Linked DNA regions of Rhinolophus ferrumequinum. The protein of the gene in region 1 purifies or fractionates together with the protein of each later gene. This does not show direct contact. Links are inferred from orthologs where the notes say so. Each region holds a gene or a part of one and is shown on either strand. Other genes may lie near its edges.

Region 1 (11,063 bases):
GATATCCAGAACCCCAAATAGAATGGAGTACAGATAAAAAGGGCCTGTAACAATTACTGATTCAATCCTGCTATCTAAGCCTGGAATCTATAGGCTGAGTTGTTTCTTGTTTGCATAAAACTGTTAAATTTTTCTATTAAATATAATTTTTAAAATAAAATTTGAGTTAAAATAATACATGTTCACAGTAGAAAACACAGGCAAAATTTTAATCACCTATAATCCTAGCACCCAAAGATAATAGTTAACATTGAGGCACATATAGTTTTCCCTACCTTTATTAAAAGAAATTATACTCTTATGTTGAAATTGCTCAATGTCTTACCAATGAATCAATGGAGGAGTTACCAAAATAAGATCACAAGTGTGAAATTTCTTTGGTTATTTTAAAAACGCATGCACTCTAGTCCACAATATAGCTGTTTTAATTTTCAAAGAAACATTTATGATTTTCTTCCCCCTCCCTATCCTTTCAACAACATTTATGCTCCAGTAAGATGCACCACGTTAATCCTATGGCTCTGGAACACTTGGTATTTCAGTGCGAGCAGGCTCTACATGGCTTGTTACCTTGTGCTTAGCACGTGGTCCAAGATGGTAGATCATGAACATATCTCCATGTCATGAATATAGTCTTCCACTGTAACCCATTTTATGGCTGCATAATATCCCATTATACAAACCAACCCCATGGTAAATTTAGTCAACGTTGTTTCCAACATTTCTCTACTAGAAACAATACTGGAGGATCATTCTTGTAACTAAGTCTTGGTACACTCCTAAAAGACTTGCTGAGTCAAAGTGTTTATTTTGTAAGCTTTTAAAGCTTTTATCACATACCAGTTTATCCTCCAAATAACTGTATGTATTTAGTGAACCATCAGTTATATATTTTGTGTCTATGTTAGTTTCAGAGGCGGAAAAAATGGCATCCATCTCTACATAGTTAATCTGCATTTCTTTAATTACTAATAAACTTGAACTTTTTCTCTATGTTTCTTAACCATTTGTAGAAAACTGCCTGTTTGTGTCTTTTCATATGCAGATTTTTAAGTGCATTATCTTATGACAATTTAAGTAACTTTTAAAATTTACTTATAACCTGAAGAAAATCTTTGTTACTCAATTCCAGAACTACAAAAAGTCCCTTTATACAAGAAGACATAAGCAAACAACATAAAGATGTACAGAATCATTTATAAAATACCTGTGGGTTACTCCTTCCAATCGACATACAACCCTTGGTGAGTTTTCCAACTCCATCATCCCAGTCCCAACCATCATCATCATCATAATCTTCTTCCTCCTCCTCCTCCTCCTCCTCCTCTTCTATCTCACCTTCACCCATCTTCTCATTATTTTGAAGATCTTCAAACAGAACACCATCTTCCTCTTTGATTGTCTTCAAGTCAATGTTTTCACTAGAAATAACAATGTTTTAGTGTGTTTATACATACTCTAATTGGACTTACGTATGAATTTATTTATGACATAATAGCTTAATCTATGCCAATAAATCTAAACGTTTCCCTTTCAACATATCTCCCAATAAACTCCATCATAACACCAAGTTCTCCTGTTTTTCAGAGTTGTTCCACTTGTTGTTTGCTTATTCTCCAGGTCCTGTTAAAGAGGTGTATCAGGTTAAATCCACCTCTGCATTCATGAAGTCAGAATTTATATTGTTACTGTCTCTGCTGAATGCACTGAACTCTGATCAGTACGCCAGACCTGACTCTACGAAAACCATTCAGAGCTGTGTTAAGAGGGGGAAAAAAATTTTCTGACAAAACTTGGGAATAAGTCTAAAGCAGCCTTACCTTGAACTCAACACCACTTTACAACAAAAGGAGCTCTATTATAGATTTGTGTTACACAAGGAATGGTGACTATAAGCACCACGAATGAGAGAAGTAGGCTGGGTATAATTAAACAGAAGTGGGGATTGTCAAACCTAGAGACAAGCCCCAAGTAGAGAGAGCACGATAGGGTCTGTTTTTGCCATATGAGAATTCAGACCCAGTGTTACCATATCTTCTTAGTTTTTCAAGAGCCAGAAATCTGGATTTTTGTGTGAAATCTCCCCGTTAACTGGCATATTCAATTTTAACAAAATACTGTGCATGCCAAACGAAATATGTGTGCAGGTCAGATTCAACAGAGGTACTACTAGTTTTGACCTCTCATATGGAGAACAAGGTCAGAAACCATATAAAACAATTGATAATATGCACTACCAGCTTAAAAAGTCAGATGTGAGTCTAAGTAAATTCAGATGATCAATCCTGAATTTTTTTTTTAAGTGTGTTTTTCCAGGACCCATCAGTTCCAAGTCAAGTAGTTGTTTCAATCTAGTTGTGGAGGGCGCAGCTTACAAAGGCCCATGTAGGGATGGAACCCGCAACCTTGTTGTTAAGAGCACCGCGTTCTAACCAACTGAGCTAACCGGCGCCCCAATCCTGACTTATTAATTAGCCATGGCTTACAGGACTCCAAATCTCCATGGACATGGGTGGGAAGAGAACAAACATTAGGCAGCTGCTATTTACTAGGATTTTATAAACATAATCCATAAATTGATCATTCATTTGCCAATAACCTAGAGTGGCATGTTAAAGTTATGCCTTCAATTGTACTAGGGCTTCTCAACCTCGGTGGACAATTCTTTGTTGTGGGAGGTTGTCTTGTACCTTATAGGATTTTTAGCAGCATCTCTAGCCTCCACCTACCAGATGCCACTAGTGTATTACCATCCCCAGTTGTGACAAACAAAAATGTCTCCAGAAATTGCCCAAAGTCCCAAGGCCGGGGTGGGGGTGGGGGGCGAGGGCGGAGGCAACATCTATTGGATTACCTTTATAATATCCAGTGATGGATAATAAACCAGTGTACACTCATTACCATTAACTATGCACCAGTCACATAGGCTGTTTCTTTTTTCCCTTAACTTCTTCCCTAAGGTCTTTTGCATACTCAGCTGTAAACATAAATCTGGAATGCCCTTCTCATTTCTCTGACTAAATCCTACTTATCCTTCCAGTATTAGCTTACTATCACTTGCTCAGGGAAGTCTACCCTATTCTTCACCCACTTCTCCTTTGTACTACTTTCTAATACAAATCATTTGTCTAATTATTTAATATGTTTCCCCTGCTAGAGCGAATCTCTGTGTCAGAGTGGTTTACTAACATATCCCTACCAACTAACACTATATCTGACACATCGAAAGCCATCAACATATATTTACTAAAAATCTCCAATTGCTTAATAAAATGGCCATGTAATGAAACCTTAATGTAAACATAAAGTAAAAACCGTATTTTTTTTGGGGGGGGGGAATTCCAAAATAATTCTGGTTCATTCTGCTTTCAAGTAAAAGTTATCCTTAATTCCTTTTGTTTCATACCTCACATGCAATCTACCACCAAACTGTCACTTCTACCTCCAAAACATATCCCTATGGTCCTATCTCTAACTCTCACCATCTTTGAACTGAATTACTTCATTACTTTTGAACGGCTTCCACTCTTGCCCTCCAAAACCATCCTCTCCATAGCAGAGTAATTCCTTTAAATCGTAAATCAGATGTCATTTCCCTGCTAAAATCCTTCCTATGGCTTTCTATAAGACCTAGAATAATATCTCAGTTCCTTACCATCATTTGTAAGGCTCTATACGATCTGGCCCCTTCTCACTTATATATTGTTTACCCACTAATCTTCTCAAGTACCTCTGCAGTGCTCTAGGCACAATTACCTCTAAATCTTCCTTTTACAGCCAAGAGGGATCTCACTGCTGGGACTTTGCAAGTGCTGTCCCCTCTTCCTGAATGGCTCTTCTCTCTGCTCTTCCCTAGGTTAGCCCATTATTCTTGTTCAGTTCTGGACTTAACCCCTTCCTGACCAAATCATAACTTGGCCTATCAACTGATTTTAATTATCTGCACAGTATATATTATTATCTGGTTTTTGTTTTTTAAATACCGCTATGTACTCAATTGCCTACCCACCCTCCCAAGTAGAAAGTAAAATTCAATGACAGTAGGGACTTAGTTTGTCTTGTTCATCACTAGCTCCAGCGCCGAGGGCAGAACCTGGCACACATTAGGTGCTCACATATTTTTTGAACACTGAATGTAATTAAAGCTCAAAAACCTGTTTCCCAATCGCTATCCCCATCTCTGCCTCTCAGCGATGCTAACCAACCAACCTGGGAGCCCTGGACTACCTTGACAAGTGGCTGTCATTGATTGCCGTAAACTGGGACGACAGTCACTGCTGGGATGGACGAAGACGCAAAACGCTGTAAAAAGAGGCCCCGAGTGATGAATTACCAGTCTCCCCCTAAACCACAAACAAGTGTTAACTCCCCGACGGAGCGGTGGCGGAAGAGAGAGCAAAATCCCAACAAAGTCGGTGTACTCCACCGCCGTCTACCTGTCGGAGGAATCCGCGTCGTCGAACTGCCCGGGCACTACCCGACTCATCAGCAGCCGCCGGTAGTCCATGACCGAGAGCGCAGTTTCAGCGCCACCGAAGGCCGCCCGCCCGCCCAGCGATGGGTCAGGAACCGCACAGAGACGGTTCTATGTGCGGCCGACCCAACAGCCTCTCCGCAGATGGCCGCCTCGCAAACCACTCAGAAGCCCTCACACCAAAAGTGAGCGCCACGTGCTTTGAGGAATTAGGATCCACAGCCTTTGCACTGTGGCCTGCGCTCAACCGGAGGCCCCGCCCCTACCGGAAAGCTTGGCCTACCGGAAGTCCCGCCCCGGTGCCGGGTTGAGAGCTTGGAGCTTGCGCGGAAGTGTACGTGACAGCGATACATCGAAATGTTAGGCGGCCTTGAGATGCTGTTCTCGCTGAGCCAGCGCCGGCCGTTCCATCTGGAGTTTTAGTTCCTGCACCTCGCTTTGTGTTTCCTGCCGCAGAAGGACGCGCCAGCCAGCCCACAGATTGTTTGGCCTGGGGGCTCACACCCACAGAATTTCCCAAATCTGGCAGAGAGACTTCGAAGCCCCTAGGCCGCGCCCGCGGGGAGCGCGGGAGCCCCGCAGGCTTCCCCGCCGACATTGGCTGGCGCGGGCGGGCGGACGTCACACTGGGACGTTCCAGCGCGCCTGCATCCCAGCTGCGAGTTTTTAAGAGCCATCCGTGGAAAAGGTTGAAAAGTGTTCTCCCTCCCACAAAACCTATTGCGCGGGGAGGAAGCACGAAATCCTTATTGTGGATCCACGAAACTGCATGGACCCTGGAAGTGAGCACGCTTTTGCGACTTAAAGAGTTTGGTGCATTGTTTTGAGATGAAAATGAGTTAAGTGCTTTTAGAATATTGAAGTTTGTCATACAACTGAAAAGAATTTAAAAACAAAACCTTGGAGTTTTGGCCAGTAACTCCAGGGACACCTCTTTTAACACCCATCTTAAAACAGCTTTAGAGTGTCTCTGGAATATCTCTCGAAACATTTCAATAAATATTTTAAAAATCTAATATAAATCTCGTAAGGGCAGAATGAAAGATGGCAACAGTAAGCCTAACTTAAAAAAATATACAACTGGCAGATGGGGCCGTGTGAACAAAGTTGTAAAAGTGTAGTTGGAAGTTCTGGGTTCACAGGCAAATTTAAGAAATAAGGCCCTTGCGTTTTTTGCATTTGGAAAAGGCAAAACAAGGATTTTTCAGATCCCCATCACCACAACACAGACAGCATTTATGTGTTTGGAAAACGGAGAAGGTAAGCATAAAGTTGGGCCAATCTCCAATCCTGAATAGCCTGCTTAGCTCAGTGGCTTTTTAATATTGAGGATGACATAAATTTGGAAAAAAAAAATTCCTCAGTAAATTATTAATTTAATAATTCAATAAAGTAATCCAGGCAAATGGGTAGTGACTAGATTGAGATGGTTTAATAGAAATAATTCATTGGAGTGCAGGATTTAGTGAATACTCTGGACAACACTGGTCTGTTTGATGTAGGGTGTATGGAAAAACCATAAGTGGACTTCTCAAAGTATGTATAATCAGTAAATACAAACACTGATACCCTTGAAACAATGGTGAAGATTAAAACAGTAAAATGAATAGGTGCTGAATTGTGAGATAGAGATTTAGACTAAAGACCTTGTAGGAACTTTTAAAAAAATAGATGATTGGGTAGGTAAAGAAGTTTTAGGAGAGAGAAGCACTTGCCAGGGCAGACTACCGAAAAGGAACACGATCTATTTGCAAAGAAGTGAGGCTGAGCAGGAGTACTGGGTAGGTAATGTGGGTTCAGGCTACGGAAGACCTAGAAAGTCAAGCAGAAGAATTTGAAGTCAGCGTGATTGGACATCCTATCCACCTCGATCCCCCTGACAGACTTGAGGGGTCACAAGAATATGGACCAGTGTGTTGACATAAGGGATGGGAAGAAAGCATGAGTTATAAAAACATTTTTAAAAGAGAAATGGACAGGAATTGGTAACTGAATAGCTCATGGATAATGAGATAGAAGGACGCCAGGTTTTGAAACCCGAGTGCCTGAGAGAATGTGGCATTAGGAGGTGAGGGAAAATTAATTTACATTGTTGGATTTAACTTGATAATGAGGTATTCTAATAGCGATTGTCAAGTAAATAGAAATACAGTGTTGATGGAACCTAATGGTAGGTATCTGGTAATATTTTGTGAATATTTTTTGATTAAGTAACTTAGAGATCCCTTCATCTCCTCAGTACCCACATCTTTTAGGTTAATTATTGGATAGTAGCCACACATATTGATTTGCTTTTGTCCGAATTAGTATTACTACCATACAAAGTTACCATGGTATATTCAGGCTAAAATTTTTTATTTTTCCAATAACTTGACAAATGACATTTTAAAATTTAGGACAGTGAACTTTGCTGCTTTCTTAATGTGAGGAAGGATGGGGGTGGGGGGGGAGTTTTCTGTTTGCATATACTAATAGACATTAAAATTATGTTTTTTAAAGAGACCTTCCATCACTCAACAGTTAGGAGCAAGGACTATCAGAAAGTTTGGTCATCACTTCAGATACAATACTGTACATTTTGAAGTGGATGCTTTTCATAAAAATTAGAAAGCATGGCAGAAGCAGATGCCATGAATTCAGAAGTCTTTCTCAAGACTTAACTCACTCAAATTCTCCCTTCTAAATGGAAGCCAGCAGTACTACTTGAGACTTGCCTCAGGTGTGCAGTACTTAAAAGTTCTGGGAGGTACAGACGTATTTAGCATTCACATTGTTTTCCATATGAAATGTCTTCAAAATTACTAGGAACAATGAAAGAATCTCTAACGGAAGCATAGAAGACGGGAACACAGGGTCTGGTTTTCCCAGTTCCACTAGTATACAAAGAAGGGTGAGAATTTTACATACAGAGAGTATTAAAACTGACCCTTCCTAGTCTCTTCGTGAAGTCCCATGAGTACAGCCAGGGGACATTGCCGCAACAACTCAGTCACAGAGTCAGGACAAGAACCCAAGGAGCCTGACATCTGGTCTAGAGCATTTTCCACTATGTCAGCATGCAAATGATTCACATGTTCATAATGACATTGACAGTGCCATGTAAATGACTTCCTGTCTGCATGAAAATTCCTAGTGCTGTTTGTCACAAAATAAAAGAGATTTTTATGTCCCAGGATCTTCATGAATGTCATTCTAAATATTTGACAATTATTAAGCAAGAGTGTAGGGAAATAATAGGAATCTATTAGGTTTGCCACATAAAATTACCTTTTTGTAGTTCAAAACCAGACAAATATTGACAATTCATGTGGTTCAGCCCATAAATTCACATAATCTTTCTAAAAGGCTGTTTAATGCTAGGAAATCCAGAGCTTAACTGCACATTTTGTTGTTAATTTTGCCCCAGGAAGTATACAAGTGAGATATTTGCAGAATAATTCACAGCTAACATTGGAAACAACCTAAATTTTCATCAGTAGGGGACTAGTTAAATTATCGTATATATGTACAGTGGATATGTAAACCTTAAATATGATAATACAGATACATATTTGTTGACCTGGAAATATGGTCACATTGCTTCTCACTAGGCAGAAGACTTTTGAGTGTTTTTCACTTTCTTTTTTAAACAATGTTCAAGATTCATTTTTATAATTATAAAAAACTTTTCATTTTGAAAAAATATTTTGGTCATAGTATTATGAGGTTAATCAGGGCCCAAGATACTATGTACTGAATTATAAAGAATGAATGTCTTAAATTATTTACGTAAGGAGGTCCTCCCTCTTGGATTTCACTGACCATTTTATTCTTTATAAAAAATTTATAGACCTAAGAAACAAAAGGCATATTTCAGTTAAACACAGTAATGTTATAGAAGACTAGAGTTAGAAGTGATCTCTGAAATTTGATGATTAGTGGAGTCAGAAGTCTGTCTAAACATCAATGCATGTGAATAGTGCTATTTTATTTTTCAAGTATATTATTCTTGATGCTTTAAAATCTAATTAGGAGAGGAATGGTCTGAATTAGCAACAAGTCTAAAAGACAGATTGCTATAAAATATAATTCAGTTCTTACTGTACTTCAGATACATTCAATAAGTGGAACAATGCTATAAAAAGCATATTGAATAGAGGTTTGTAACCAGCTGACTTTACTGAGAGATATGAACTTTTTTAGAGTATCATTTAGGTCCACATATTTGGTATACTACTCATGATTAAACCAATGTTTTCTTTAAACATCTAAAATATTTTTCTTACTGTCTTATTTATACTATTAATTTACTTAATAAGCCCTTTCATCTTAGATTACATGAAGTTAACTTTGAGAATAAACCCTACATGAATTTTTATATATTTATATTTATAAGAATTAGATTTCACCCCATTACTAGAATCCTGTTTCATATATCTTCAATGTTAAAAGATGAATAACAACTACCCTAATGTTGTATAGAGCAGATTTAACGAACATCAAAGAATTGTCAGTAAGAGATACGTAGGTTATCACATACCCCTATGTTTATAGGAACATGATTTGACTTACCAAAAAAACCAGAATATTAAAATAGCAAGACACTTATTTAATAAGGGAAAGTCAGATATACAGTGGGGAGAGATAGCAGGAAGCACATTCTACCCATGCAACAAAAAATACTAATAAAAATTGCATAGCAATGTACATACACCTTTACAAGAGGCTTATGATGTTTGTTTGAGGAATTAATATTAATGTCCATTTGATTATAAATACAGAATGAAGTAAAGAATATAAAAAGGGAAAATGAGTCCAAACTGACACTTTCCAAAGAAATTTATAGCACACTAGATGATCTGTTAGGTGGTGAGTATCTACCTCTTTGTTAGCAACATACAGAGAAACTGAGACTTTTTTTATATCTTGTGATGATGATGATGATGATGATGATGGCCACGTACTGTGATAAGCATTTTATACACATTATTACTTTTAAGCCACAAACAATCCCATGAAATAGAGCTTTTTTTCCTTTGTAAACAAGGGCTATTTTAACCTCCATTTTAAAGATGAAAAAAGTGAGGCTCGGAGTAACAAGAACTAGAAACTATAATCAACACATTTGACTATATTAAAATAAAATAAAAACTTCTGTGATCAAATTATAATCAACAAAGTAAAAAAACAAGCCACAATCTAAGATACATATCACGTATTAACAAAGGATTAGTATCCAAAATAAAGAACTCCAATAAGAAAAAGATACATATAACACAATAGAAAAACACATATATGTATTAGTTTGCTAGAGCTGCTGTGAAGAAATACCATACACTGGGTGGCTTCAACAATTCAAATTTATATTCTCACAGTTTTTGAGGCTGGAAGTCCAAGATCAAGGTGCCCTCAGAGTTGACTGGTTTCTCCTGAGGCCTCTCACATGCTGCCGTCTTGTGTCCACGTGGCTGTTTCTCTGCCTCCTTGGTGTCTCTTCTTCCTGTAAGGACACCAGTCATAGTGCATTGGGCCTGACCCTTACGATCTCATCTAACCTTAATTGCCTCCTGAAAGGCCCTATCTCCAACTACAGTCACGTTTCAAGATACTGGGGGTTAAGCCTTCAACTTGTGAATTTTGAGGAAACACAATTCAATCCATAATAGTGTCTAAGAGGCAGAAAAGAAAAGGAAACCTGCCAGACCATTAAATACCTGAAAGGATGTACATTAAAAATACCACAAAATGCCATTTCATATATAGCAGTTTGATGTGTTGGAGGGATGTAGAGCAAAGGAACTCTTATGCCTCTGGTATTAGTATAAATTGGTATAATCACTTTGGAGGTATCTAGTCAATCATTTTGCAGTATCTAGTCAAGTTAAAGATAATGTATTTTCTATAACCCAGGACTACACTTATAGATATGTACCCAGAGCCTAGATAAAAATTCTTTTTTTAAGAAAACTTACATGAAGTATTTTATTGTATGCAGCCTACAGTGTCCAGCTTTTGCATGTGGTCATAGAAGTTGGGAATACAAGCGTGTAGACGATCTTAGCCTTGGTCTCTTAATGACACATCTTTGCTCTTGGCGATCTTTCCTAATTCTATTGCTGCTCTTCAAGACTCAGCTTTCTTTTGATTTCATGGCTTCAGTCTCCGTTTGAATTGATGTCTGAACCAAGATAAGCAAAATCTTTAACAGCAATTCCGACATCTTCATTGTCTATGTTAAAGTTGTGTATTTCTTCATGATTTTTGTCTTCTCAATGTTCAAGTGCAGTTTTTTGGCACTTCTTTCACTTTCATCAGAAGTCATTTCAAATCATTACTACTTTCTGCCAGTGAGATGGCGTCTCTGCATATCTTAATTTATTAATATTTCTCCTTCCTCTGAGTCTAATTTTTCATTTATGTTCTGTATATAGATTAAACAGAGAGATAAAATTGTACATGTATATGTTTATACAGAGGGTGCCAAAAAATGTATACACATTTTAAGGAAAAAAAACTATTAAAACTGTAATACTCAATATACACTGGTAACAAAAGATGAATACAAGTCATGCATATACATTTTTTGGCACCCCCAGTATATACACGTATA
Region 2 (9,923 bases), on another chromosome or scaffold:
ATTGTACCTTTTCAGGGGTGTGAGGGTTATAAGACCAAAGGGAATACTGGGTAGAAAGGAATTTGTAGTACAATGGGCATTATGAGTCTTAACAAGGTGTGATTCTGGTTTTCATGCATATGTAAGCTATGAGGTTAAATTCACTTCTATGAAATAATAGTCTTAGTGAAGAAAAATTTGAATGAGGAAACGGTTATTTGACTATATAAAAGTAATTTTAAACTGAAGATGTTAGTCTGCCTTGAAAAGGAAACAAAAGAATACATTTAAATGGAAGTAGAGGTAAAGAATGAACATTCATTGATTGTAAAGTTAATACCAGCTGTTATTGCCTAGGTGCATAATTAATCAGCATTTTAATTTAATCCTTGTAGTTACTCTGAGATGTCATCCTTGTGTTATGAGTAAGGACACTTAGAAGGTCAGAGGGTTTAAAAAATTTGCTGAAGGTCGTATAACTAGTATTTATAAACTTTGCCTTGATACAAAATGTTCTAAGGTGGACATAGCTAATATGTGCCAGAGCCCAGATAACTCAAAAGGAAGAAATCTCTAGCCATAGGGAGTAGAATCTTCCGCATTTATTTATTTCAATCCTACTTCACCCTCAGAGCTTTCAAACATACTTTCCCGTGAAGCTGCCCATGTTCCTCCAAGAATTTATTAGGCTTTTTCCATGCTACTGTAGCAAAGTGCTTTTTATCACTGTTTGACACTTACTTCACTCTGGAAGTAAATGCATATGACTTCTCTCTGGGTAAGTTGAAAGCCAGGCTGTGTTCATCTTAAGCCACAACCCTCCTCTCCTTAAAATACCTAATAGATGATAGCTGTTAACAGTGTGGTTGAAATGAATTTATGACATTATAAATTAGGCTTAAGATTGTCTGATTATTTTTGTTAGGAATCCTGCAAGATGGCAAACTTAAGAGAATATTATGAGAGGGCTTTGAGAGAGTTTGGATCTACAGATTCTGGTAAGTAAACTTCAGTTATAGACATATAAGTCTGTTTGCATGTGTGGTCTGGAACTTTTCAGTACGGTTAGAACAGCGTTTCTTTACTGGGTCATGGCCCTTTTTGAGAATAAAATTTGTATCCTCCTACCTCTTCCCTTACTTTGTGCATAAATAAATACTTGCAGATGTAATTTTGCTTATAATTTCAAGTTCATAAGCTCAAGAGTCCATGGGTCTTCTATTAAGAACGCTGGGTTAGAGAAAGATTTGCTTGATTTGGTTCTCTAAAAAATATGGTATTTGTCAGGGAAAGGTTAATAATGTAGGTCAGAACAAAGAGGAGTGGGAATTACAGCAAAGGATAGTGGGACGTTAATTGACATTAGTTGTCATTGGCTATTGTCACATTGTCCACATTTATAGGCCTTGTAAAACATACTTCTGGGCGTAGGTATGTCATGTAAAATCTGTTTACTTAGGCACTCAAAAACTGACATGTATTTGTTAAACTCATTTAAAAAACAGATCTGATGAAATGAATGAAAATGGCATTTTTACTAACCCAAGCAAATTTTGTTAAGCATGGTAACAAGGTTACGGTGAACTCATTTTGATATACTCCAGTGTAAGGAAGCTGAGAGCGGTATTGTTTCACAGTTTTCTGTGGAAATAAGTTCCTTAGAAATCTTGTGTTAAATCGATATTAAATAATTAATCTTACTTAATAAAGCCTTGTCAGTTATATATTATATGTCCACAGTAATTTTTTTGTTCCCTTTAAAGATCTTTGGATGGATTATATAAAAGAAGAATTGAACCACCCTCTTGGTAGACCTGAGAACTGCGGACAAATCTACTGGCGAGCCATGAAAATGTTGCAGGGAGAGTCAGCAGAGGTGTTTGTAGCTAAACATGCTATGCATCAAGCCGGCCATTTGTGAAAAGAGGAAGAACAAGCCAACTTTGTGAAATAGTGTTGTAAGCCTTCTGGGTAGATTGGTGTTAGGAGTTCATCTACAATTTGCTTAGAGATGGCAGACAAGAAGGCTCTCTGATTTTGAGACATGCTTTAATTTTGTTAATGCATTATTTTTTAATTCCAGAAGAGAATTGCTGTTCAGTGGCCAGAGGCTACTTGTTGGGGCTGGATCTACTATAGATCCTGAATGTTGTTCAAAATAATGTGGAAATCATACAACTGAAGTTTCTTTTATTATCCCCGGGTTAAGGATGAATATTTCTAGACCTAGGGGCCAGTTAAAATGGAGGAGAAAGTACAGTTCTGTTAGTTTATTCTTCCCTTATTATAAAAGTATGCATGGTATGCATTTGTTGTAGAAAATATGGTGGGAGTAGAATAAGGAGAAGAAAATAAAAGCATCCTGTAATATCATCTGGAGTTAAACTCAGTAATTTGATTTCCTTTATCAGAATTGGATTTATCCTGTTAGAACATTTACTCATTCATTCATTGAGTGCCCATCATAAGCAGGAAGGAAGGGAAGCTTTTTTGGATGGAGGTAGGGGTTAGAGGAACAGAGCTGAATGTCTCTAAAGCTGGTTGAAGGAGCAGAGAAGGATGCTGGGTATTGGGGAAAAAGTTCTTTAAGAAGATCAAGATGTTATACAGGTATCTTCTATCTCTGGGACTGATCTGCAAAGTAGTGTTTATAGTGGGCAGGACTGCCAACAAAAGAAGGGCAGGGATAGGGAGCATATTAGAGAAAGGCTTCAGAGCCCATGATGGAGGATGGCTTGAAGCACAGAAGGGCATTCTGGGAGTAGGGGAGGCAGTTATTTGAATTTTATATCCTTTAACATAATGTTATAATGTCACTGGGAGAAGCATTCAGTACAGTTTATTGATGTTTCGCTTAATATTAGGTTGGTGCAAAAGTAATTGCGGTTTTTGCAATTTTCCAACTTTTTAAACTACAGTTACTTTTGCACCAACCTAATATTATGTTATTTTTCCATGTCATTAAAGCCTTAAACACATTTAATGAATTTAGAACATTCCCTGTAAAATTCATAACATTCTGTGGTTGGACCTTGTTATTGGTTGGACCTTGTTATTTCTAATTTTTTCTTACTATAAATGCTGTTAATGATTTTTGTAAATCTTTGTTCACATCCCTGGTTATTTCTGTAGGAGACTGACATCTGACAAAATTGTTGGATTAAAGGATATAACTTTTTAAAAGAATATATATATTGCCAATTTGTAATGTATAAAAAGACTTTCAAGAAATGTATGAAAATGTCAACACCTTTACCTGCGGTGGATACTTTACACACACACACACACACACACACACACATTTTTTTTTAAATTTTTATTGGGGAGTATTGGGGAACAGTGTTTTTTTCCCAGGACCCATCAGCTCCAAGTCAAGTCATTGTCCTTCAGTCTAGTTGTGGAGGGCGCAACTCAACTCCAAGTCTAGTTGCTGTTTTTCAATCTAGTTGTGGGGGGTGCGCAGCCCACTGGCCCATGTGGGAATCCAACCGGCAACCTTGGTGAGAGCTCATGCTCTAACCAACAGCCATCCGGCTGCCCCGGATATTATATTTTTTATTTATGCCATTTTAATAGGTTAAAAGTGATACATCATTGTTTTAATGTGTATTTCTTTGGCATTAATGAAATTAATGTGGTTTTCCTGGTTCTCTTTTCATGTTTTGATTTTTTTAAAACTTGTTTCTTACTAATTTATAAGAGTTTTTTTTTTGGGGGGTGGGAATATTGGGGAATAGTGTGTTTCTCCAGGGCCCATCAGCTCCAAGTCCAGTCATCGTTTTCAATCTTAGTTGCAGAGGGCGCAGCCCACCATCCCATGTAGGAATTGAACCGGCAACCTTGGTGTTATGAGCACTGTGCTCTAACCACTGAACAAACCATCCATCCCATTATTTGATTTAAAATAAAAATAATTTCCTCTTTTCCCTCTCCTTTAAGTCCCAGGAAGTTTAACATGCTAAACCCTTACATGGCATTTTTATTTTAGGAAAGAGATACATGTTGCATACAAGAGGAGAGGGAAGGATGGTGGTTGGCTTCTTATAGCAAGGCTATGAAGGTGGGTCCCCTGGGTCCCATCTGTATCTGGTTCTCACTGTTGCAGGTTATGAAAAGGCATCTAGCTAGTTCACCTAGAGCTGTACTGTTAGTATGGTAGTTTCTAGTTATGTATGGCCATTTAAACTTACTAAAATTAGCTTGATTTTTCATTTATACTGGCCACATGTTTACCATATTGGACAGCACAGAAAAATAGAACTTTTATTCCCGCCATCACAGAAGATTCTGTTGGACATTGTTGACCTAGATAGGTCCAATTAGATTTGGTGAAACTGACTCATGGGTCAGAACAGCACACATCAATTGATCACATTCTCTTCTCTGTAGGAAAGTCTATACGTTGTGAAAAAGAAAACACATGTATTGTTACACTAAAATTTTTCAAATGCGTTATGCAGTTTACAAAATATACATTCTTGGAAGGAGATGAAGGACTAGGTAGGCTCTCTAATCTCCCATAGATTGTCATAAGGTGGCCTGGTGAGCAAAGGACTCCCAGCTTCCTCCAGCTTTTCTGCTACTTAAATGTGAAGGTGAGCACGTTCAGGAAGTGTGGGGAAAGGCAGTGAAGGCAGTCTCTGCCTGTCTTCTGCCACCTCCACAAAGGAGCTTTTTTCAGGTCGGACCACCGCGAGACTCGGAACGCCTAGGGTTATTAATGACTGCCATAACATACAGTGTCCAGCACATTGTAGAAATTTTGTTCCTATGTCCTGGTTTCTAATGGATTCACTAAGAACTATCGTTAACTTAAGGGGGAGAATCACTGGGCTACTGAGTTGTCTCATTCATCTGTGGGTGAGTTATAGTCCAATTCCAGCCTGAGTTCTAGGGAAGTTTGTGAGATCAAGAGTGAAATGTGGTTGGTGAGCTACAATTGCACTAAAAGTTTTGAGAGCTGAGCTTTATACACTATCATGTAGACTCGGGTAACAGGAATTGGAGGTTTTTAAGCTGCGAAGGGATAACACTTGACATTCCAGACCAAGCTAGTCCCGCCTTGCCTGCACTAGCTGGTGCTACAAAAATCAGATTTTGGACCAGTAGGTGGGCTTTCGCTGTCGGGCGCGCCCCGCCCCTCTTGCGGCGCCCCGCCCCCGGCTTCCTCGTGACCCCCCTAGTCCCGCCCCCCCCTCGTGCAGGAGCACCCCCCCGGCTGATTGGCCCCTCTGTGGCGTATCCTCGGGCTGGCAGCCAGGCGGGCGCGTCACGTGGCCGATCAGCGTCCAGGGCACCGAGCAGCGGCCGGGCATGGACCCTCAGACCGCCGGGGCCCAGGCGTTGGGGACCGCGGAGTTGCCTCGGGGTCCGCCGTTGCCGTACGCGCGGAAGGCGTTCCCCAGCTCAGGGGTGAGCGCCGCGCTGGGGCCCGGCGCAGCCACCACCTGCGGCCGGGTCGGGAAGCTGCAGGCGCCGCGGAGCCGGGGAAGCGCCTCGGGCCCGCTTGGGGCCGCCCCGTGAACGCAGAGCGCCGTTTGGGCGCGTGCTCTAGCTGGAAACCGCTGGGCCGAGGGGCCGCGGGGTGTGGGGATGCGGGGCGGGGCACCTCGAAGGCGTGGGTGGACGCGCCGGCCGGGGAAGGAAGGCTGCGGGTCCCCGGGGTCGCCTCTGCGTACTTGCCAAATGGGAGGTGATGCTGATGACCGAGAGCTGGGGGCCTGGACAGGGGCCAGGGGAGGGCGCGCGAGGAGAGCGACTTTCCCTGAAGGACCTGTGTCTACTGGTGAGGATGTTCAGCTGACCCTGAGCACCCGATGATGTCTCATGCGCGCTCCTTTTCTAGTTAATGAAACCCAAAGGCCGGGTTTGACGCAGGTTTTCCAGAAACTTGTTTTCATTTGCGCTCCAGAAGGCTCCTGGTTTTTTAAAGACCATTGTTACAGTCACCACCTGCCCTTATTTTCAGTCAGTAATCTGTTAGATGGTGAGCTCGTCGAGGGTAGGAACCTTCTGTTCACTGCTGTTGACAGGGCACCTAGCGTAGTGCCTGGCACGGTAGACATGCTTTTTGGCTGGAGGAATGGCGTGCTTGTTGAAGCACCAAAGATACTACCTAACCAAAGTAAGAAGGAAAAAATGGAGTGATAGACTTACAAAGAAAGTTACTTTGGCGTGCAGATAGGATGAGCCTCGTTTTGTCAGGGCATAGCAGAAAAGTATGTGCACTACCTCTCCAAGGTGAGAGGGTGGTGGTGCTTGCAGAGGCCCGGAGATGTGGGAGTGCATGGCAAATGCTTGGGGACTTGGGCCTCAGAGCTTGGAGAGAGAAAGATGCTCAACAGGTTGATGATGGCTTGTGAGGGGGATGTGTGAATGCCATGGCTAATTCTGTACTCCTGCAGTGGAGCTGAAGGTTTTTGAGGCGAGCAGTGATTAACACTGGAAGGCTGGGCAGGGTGGGAGAGTGGGGAGACAGTTAGAGGTCTCAGGCAGTGGTCAAAGTGAGAGGTCCTGCAGTAGTGACCAGCGCTTGTCACTGACTACAGGAGGTGGAATCGACACTTTAAATGCAGGTATGACTTGGGGGCAGCCTGTTAGCTCAGTCGGTTAGAGTGCGATGCTCTTAACAACAAGGTTGCTGGTTCGATCCCCACCTGGGCCACTGTGAGCTGCACCCTCCACAACTAGATTGAAACAACTACTTGACTTGGAGCTGATGGGTCCTGGAAAAACACCCTTACATAAATAAAAGTTAGAAAAAAAAATCCAGGTATGACTAAACCATAAGCTAACTGGGGCCGGTGCCAAGTGCAGTATAGATGTAGCAACAAAGAAGGTGGATTTAAATTCAATGGTGCTAATGTTTTCATAAATGTTATCTCATCATAAGCCCCCTGCAAGGTCAAAACAGTCATTCTCAATTTCCAGAGAGGGAAACCCAGACACAGTGGTTGAAGTTCAAGGTCACACCCTGAATGAATGGCAGAGCTGGAATTGAAATCAGGTCTTTTCATGCAGGCTGTGGACATTCCTTGTTCCGTTTAGGAAGAGGTCTTACAGGTGATAGGATTTCAGGAACTTTTGAGTGATGAGAGCAGGGAAGCATATGGTTCGCTGTGGGGGAAGAAGATTTCCCTCATCGTCGCAGAGGAACTAAACCTCTGTTCCTCCCAGTGTATCAGCCAGGAGACAGAATTGGACAGAAAGAGCTGTTAGCTAGCTAAGAAGTTGTTAAGTAACTGACAAGTTAAAAAGTGAACATGGAGTAGGAACGGGCAAGAAACAGCTACCAACCCTAAGGAACCAAGGGATGAGGTTGGAATGGTTCAAATTTACATGCTTAGAGGAGCGGCTTTGGGGAGCTGAAATTCCACTCTCTGAGGAGAGGGCGCTGTCCAAGCTCTGAGCCTGGAGGAGGGGTCCTGAGAGCCTGGGCGTCAGACCTCTGAAGAGAGGGCTGGATGATGAGGCTGGCCCTGCAAGCTTTGGCAAACTGTAAGCTGGGTTCAGCAGCCGCTATGGGAAGACGCGCCAGCTGCCAGGGTGAAGTGTCGCTGGGGTAATGCCTGCAGGAACAGGAGGGAGCCAAGGCCCTTCTCCCGCTAGCTTCGCTGACTTCATAGGACAAAGCACAAATACGGGTTGCAGGGTCCCAGCCCCACTCAAATAGGGGGAGTATGGAAGGGTGGGGTTGCGTCTGAGAACCTAGAGCTTAATACTGGACTACCCCAGACATCCAAGTCCTGGGTAATTGTTTTTTCTTCCCGCAGGTTCGCTTTGCCCCAGACGACCACTCCGGTCAGGACAGCGAGATTGAGAAGGCCCCAGATGGACTAGGCAAGTAGATGGCAGAGACTGGGGTGGATGCCGGAAGAGACTGAGGGAGCGACAGGGACAGTTCCTATGTGTCTTGTCACCTTCTCTTCTAGCGAGTCCTCCTCTTCGCTGCCGCATTGCCTTTTCTGCCTAGGGTTTCAACAGTGCCCTTGTTTGGAAGCCCTACTGGAGCATCCCTAAGGGAAGTCCTGACCTTAGGTCCAAACCCGTCCTGTCTATGGAGAAAGACAGCTTAGGACAGCGGGAAGAATATAAGCTTTGGAGCCAGGCAAAATTGTTTTCACTGTCAGCTCCACGTCAAAGTCCTGGGCTCGAATCTTGTGGTCTTAGATGAATCACTTAATCCTTTCTTTAAAATGGGGATAATCATATTACCTCTCAGAGGTAATTGGTGAGAAGGATTTGGTGAGAGGATTTGGTGAGAGGATTTTGTTCTGAGGATTTGGTGAGAAGATGTAGAACTGTAATTGCCACTAGCTACTGGTGCTATTTAAATTTAAGTTAATTACAATAAAATGAAATGAAACAATTCAGATCCTGTTGCAGTAGCCATACGTCAAATGCTCGGCAGTTACACATGGCTAATGCTAGCCTGCCAGACAGCAGAGATGATAGAAAGTTCTGTTGGGTAGTACTGGCCTAGAGAAAGCACCAAGCACGTAAGTATAGTCATGACAACTAACACTTACTGAGTACTCACTCTGTGCCAGGCACAATTCTAAGTGTTTATTTTCCTTTTTTTTTTTTTTTAAAAAAAACAAACAAACTCAACAATACTGCCTCCATTTTACAGATGTGGAAACTAAGGCACTGAGTAAATTTCAAAAAAATTTGTGGTAAAAGACACATACAATTTGCCACTTAATGATTTTAAAGCATACAGTTCAGTGGCATTTAGCACAGTTACAATTGTGCTGTATAACCACCACCACTTTTATTTAGTTCCAGAACATTTTCATCACCCCAAAAGGAACCCTTGTGCCCTGTAAGTAGTCACACTCCATTCCCCACTTCCTTGTGGCCCTGGTGACCACTACTCTGCTTTCTGTCTCTATGGGTTTACCTATGCTGGACAGGCAAATGTGAGTTGCATATAAATGGAATCATACGCCATGTGGCCTTCTGTGTCTGGCTTCTTTCACTCAGTATATTTTCAAGGTTCGTTCATGTAGCATGTATCAATGCAGGCATACCCTGCAGATATTGTGGGTTCGGTTCCAGGCCACCATAATAAAGCAAGTATCCCAATAAAGCAAGTCATAACCTTTTTGCTGATGGAGGGTCTTGCCTTCAGTTTGCAAAAGAAAACCCCACAACATCTGTGAAGTGCAATAAAACGAAGCATGCCTATACTTCATTCCTTTTTTATGGCTGAATAATTCTGTCATGTATATATCACATTTTGCTTATTACCCATTCATCGGTTCATCGGCATTTGGGTGGTTTTCATCTTTTGGTGATTGTGAATAGTGCTGCTGTGAACATTTTTGTACAAGTTTTGTTTGAACACCTGTTTCCAATTCTTTTGGGTATACATTTAGGAGTGGGTTGTGGGGTAATTCTGTGTTCAAGCTATTGAGGAATCGGTCAAGTACATTTCAGCTCCGTCACACATGTAGTAATTGGCAGAAGTGGGATTTGGACTCAGGCAGTTTGGCTCCAGAGCCCCTGCCCTGAACTATTTCTTTATTGCTTATAGCTGTCATCAAACCGTGTTAAGAGCATGGCTGTTTTTAGGCTGATTCATTTCCCAACTCTGACCTGGCATCACCGTAGCACTTTGTGGGGACAGAATCCCAGAGAGCAGTTTCCAGGCTTTCGACCTCTTGTGGAAAGGTGCTGGCTCGGGTAGTAGATGGCCATCAGCTGTTACCGGTTAGCCATTAGCCACAAATATAACTGCTATGGCTATGCCAGCAAGTGGGGTTGGTTGGTTGGCAGAGAAGCAGACTGCGGATTGTGGATAGCAAGTGGGGTTAGCAAGTGCGGATGGTGGATTGTGTGGCTCCTGCTTCCTGTGTCTCACCCGGCCGCCAGCGAGAATATAGTGGTATGACTCCCCTATCTATGGCTCTGTTGGTATGCCTTTTTGGCCTCACCATATC

Evidence for each region.
Region 2: the proteins of RIOK1 (region 1) and COPRS purify together in Homo sapiens (affinity purification with mass spectrometry; 3 studies listed by BioGRID and IntAct, with this or other methods). This does not show direct contact. The link is inferred for Rhinolophus ferrumequinum from reciprocal best matches to the Homo sapiens genes RIOK1 and COPRS.

Annotation. Positions count from the first base shown.
Region 1 is NC_046292.1:86,548,474-86,559,536, forward strand, and holds the start of RIOK1 (serine/threonine-protein kinase RIO1), read right to left. Parts: upstream 4,725-11,063; 5' UTR 4,508-4,724; coding exon 4,437-4,507; intron 1,422-4,436; coding exon 1,208-1,421; intron 1-1,207. UniProt on the Homo sapiens protein: Involved in the final steps of cytoplasmic maturation of the 40S ribosomal subunit. Involved in processing of 18S-E pre-rRNA to the mature 18S rRNA. Required for the recycling of NOB1 and PNO1 from the late 40S precursor.
Region 2 is NC_046304.1:20,362,983-20,372,905, reverse strand, and holds the start of COPRS (coordinator of PRMT5 and differentiation stimulator), read left to right. Parts: upstream 1-5,170; 5' UTR 5,171-5,292; coding exon 5,293-5,391; intron 5,392-7,751; coding exon 7,752-7,818; intron 7,819-9,923. Other genes in the region: UTP6 (U3 small nucleolar RNA-associated protein 6 homolog), read left to right, coding at 905-977, 1,743-1,900. UniProt on the Homo sapiens protein: Histone-binding protein required for histone H4 methyltransferase activity of PRMT5.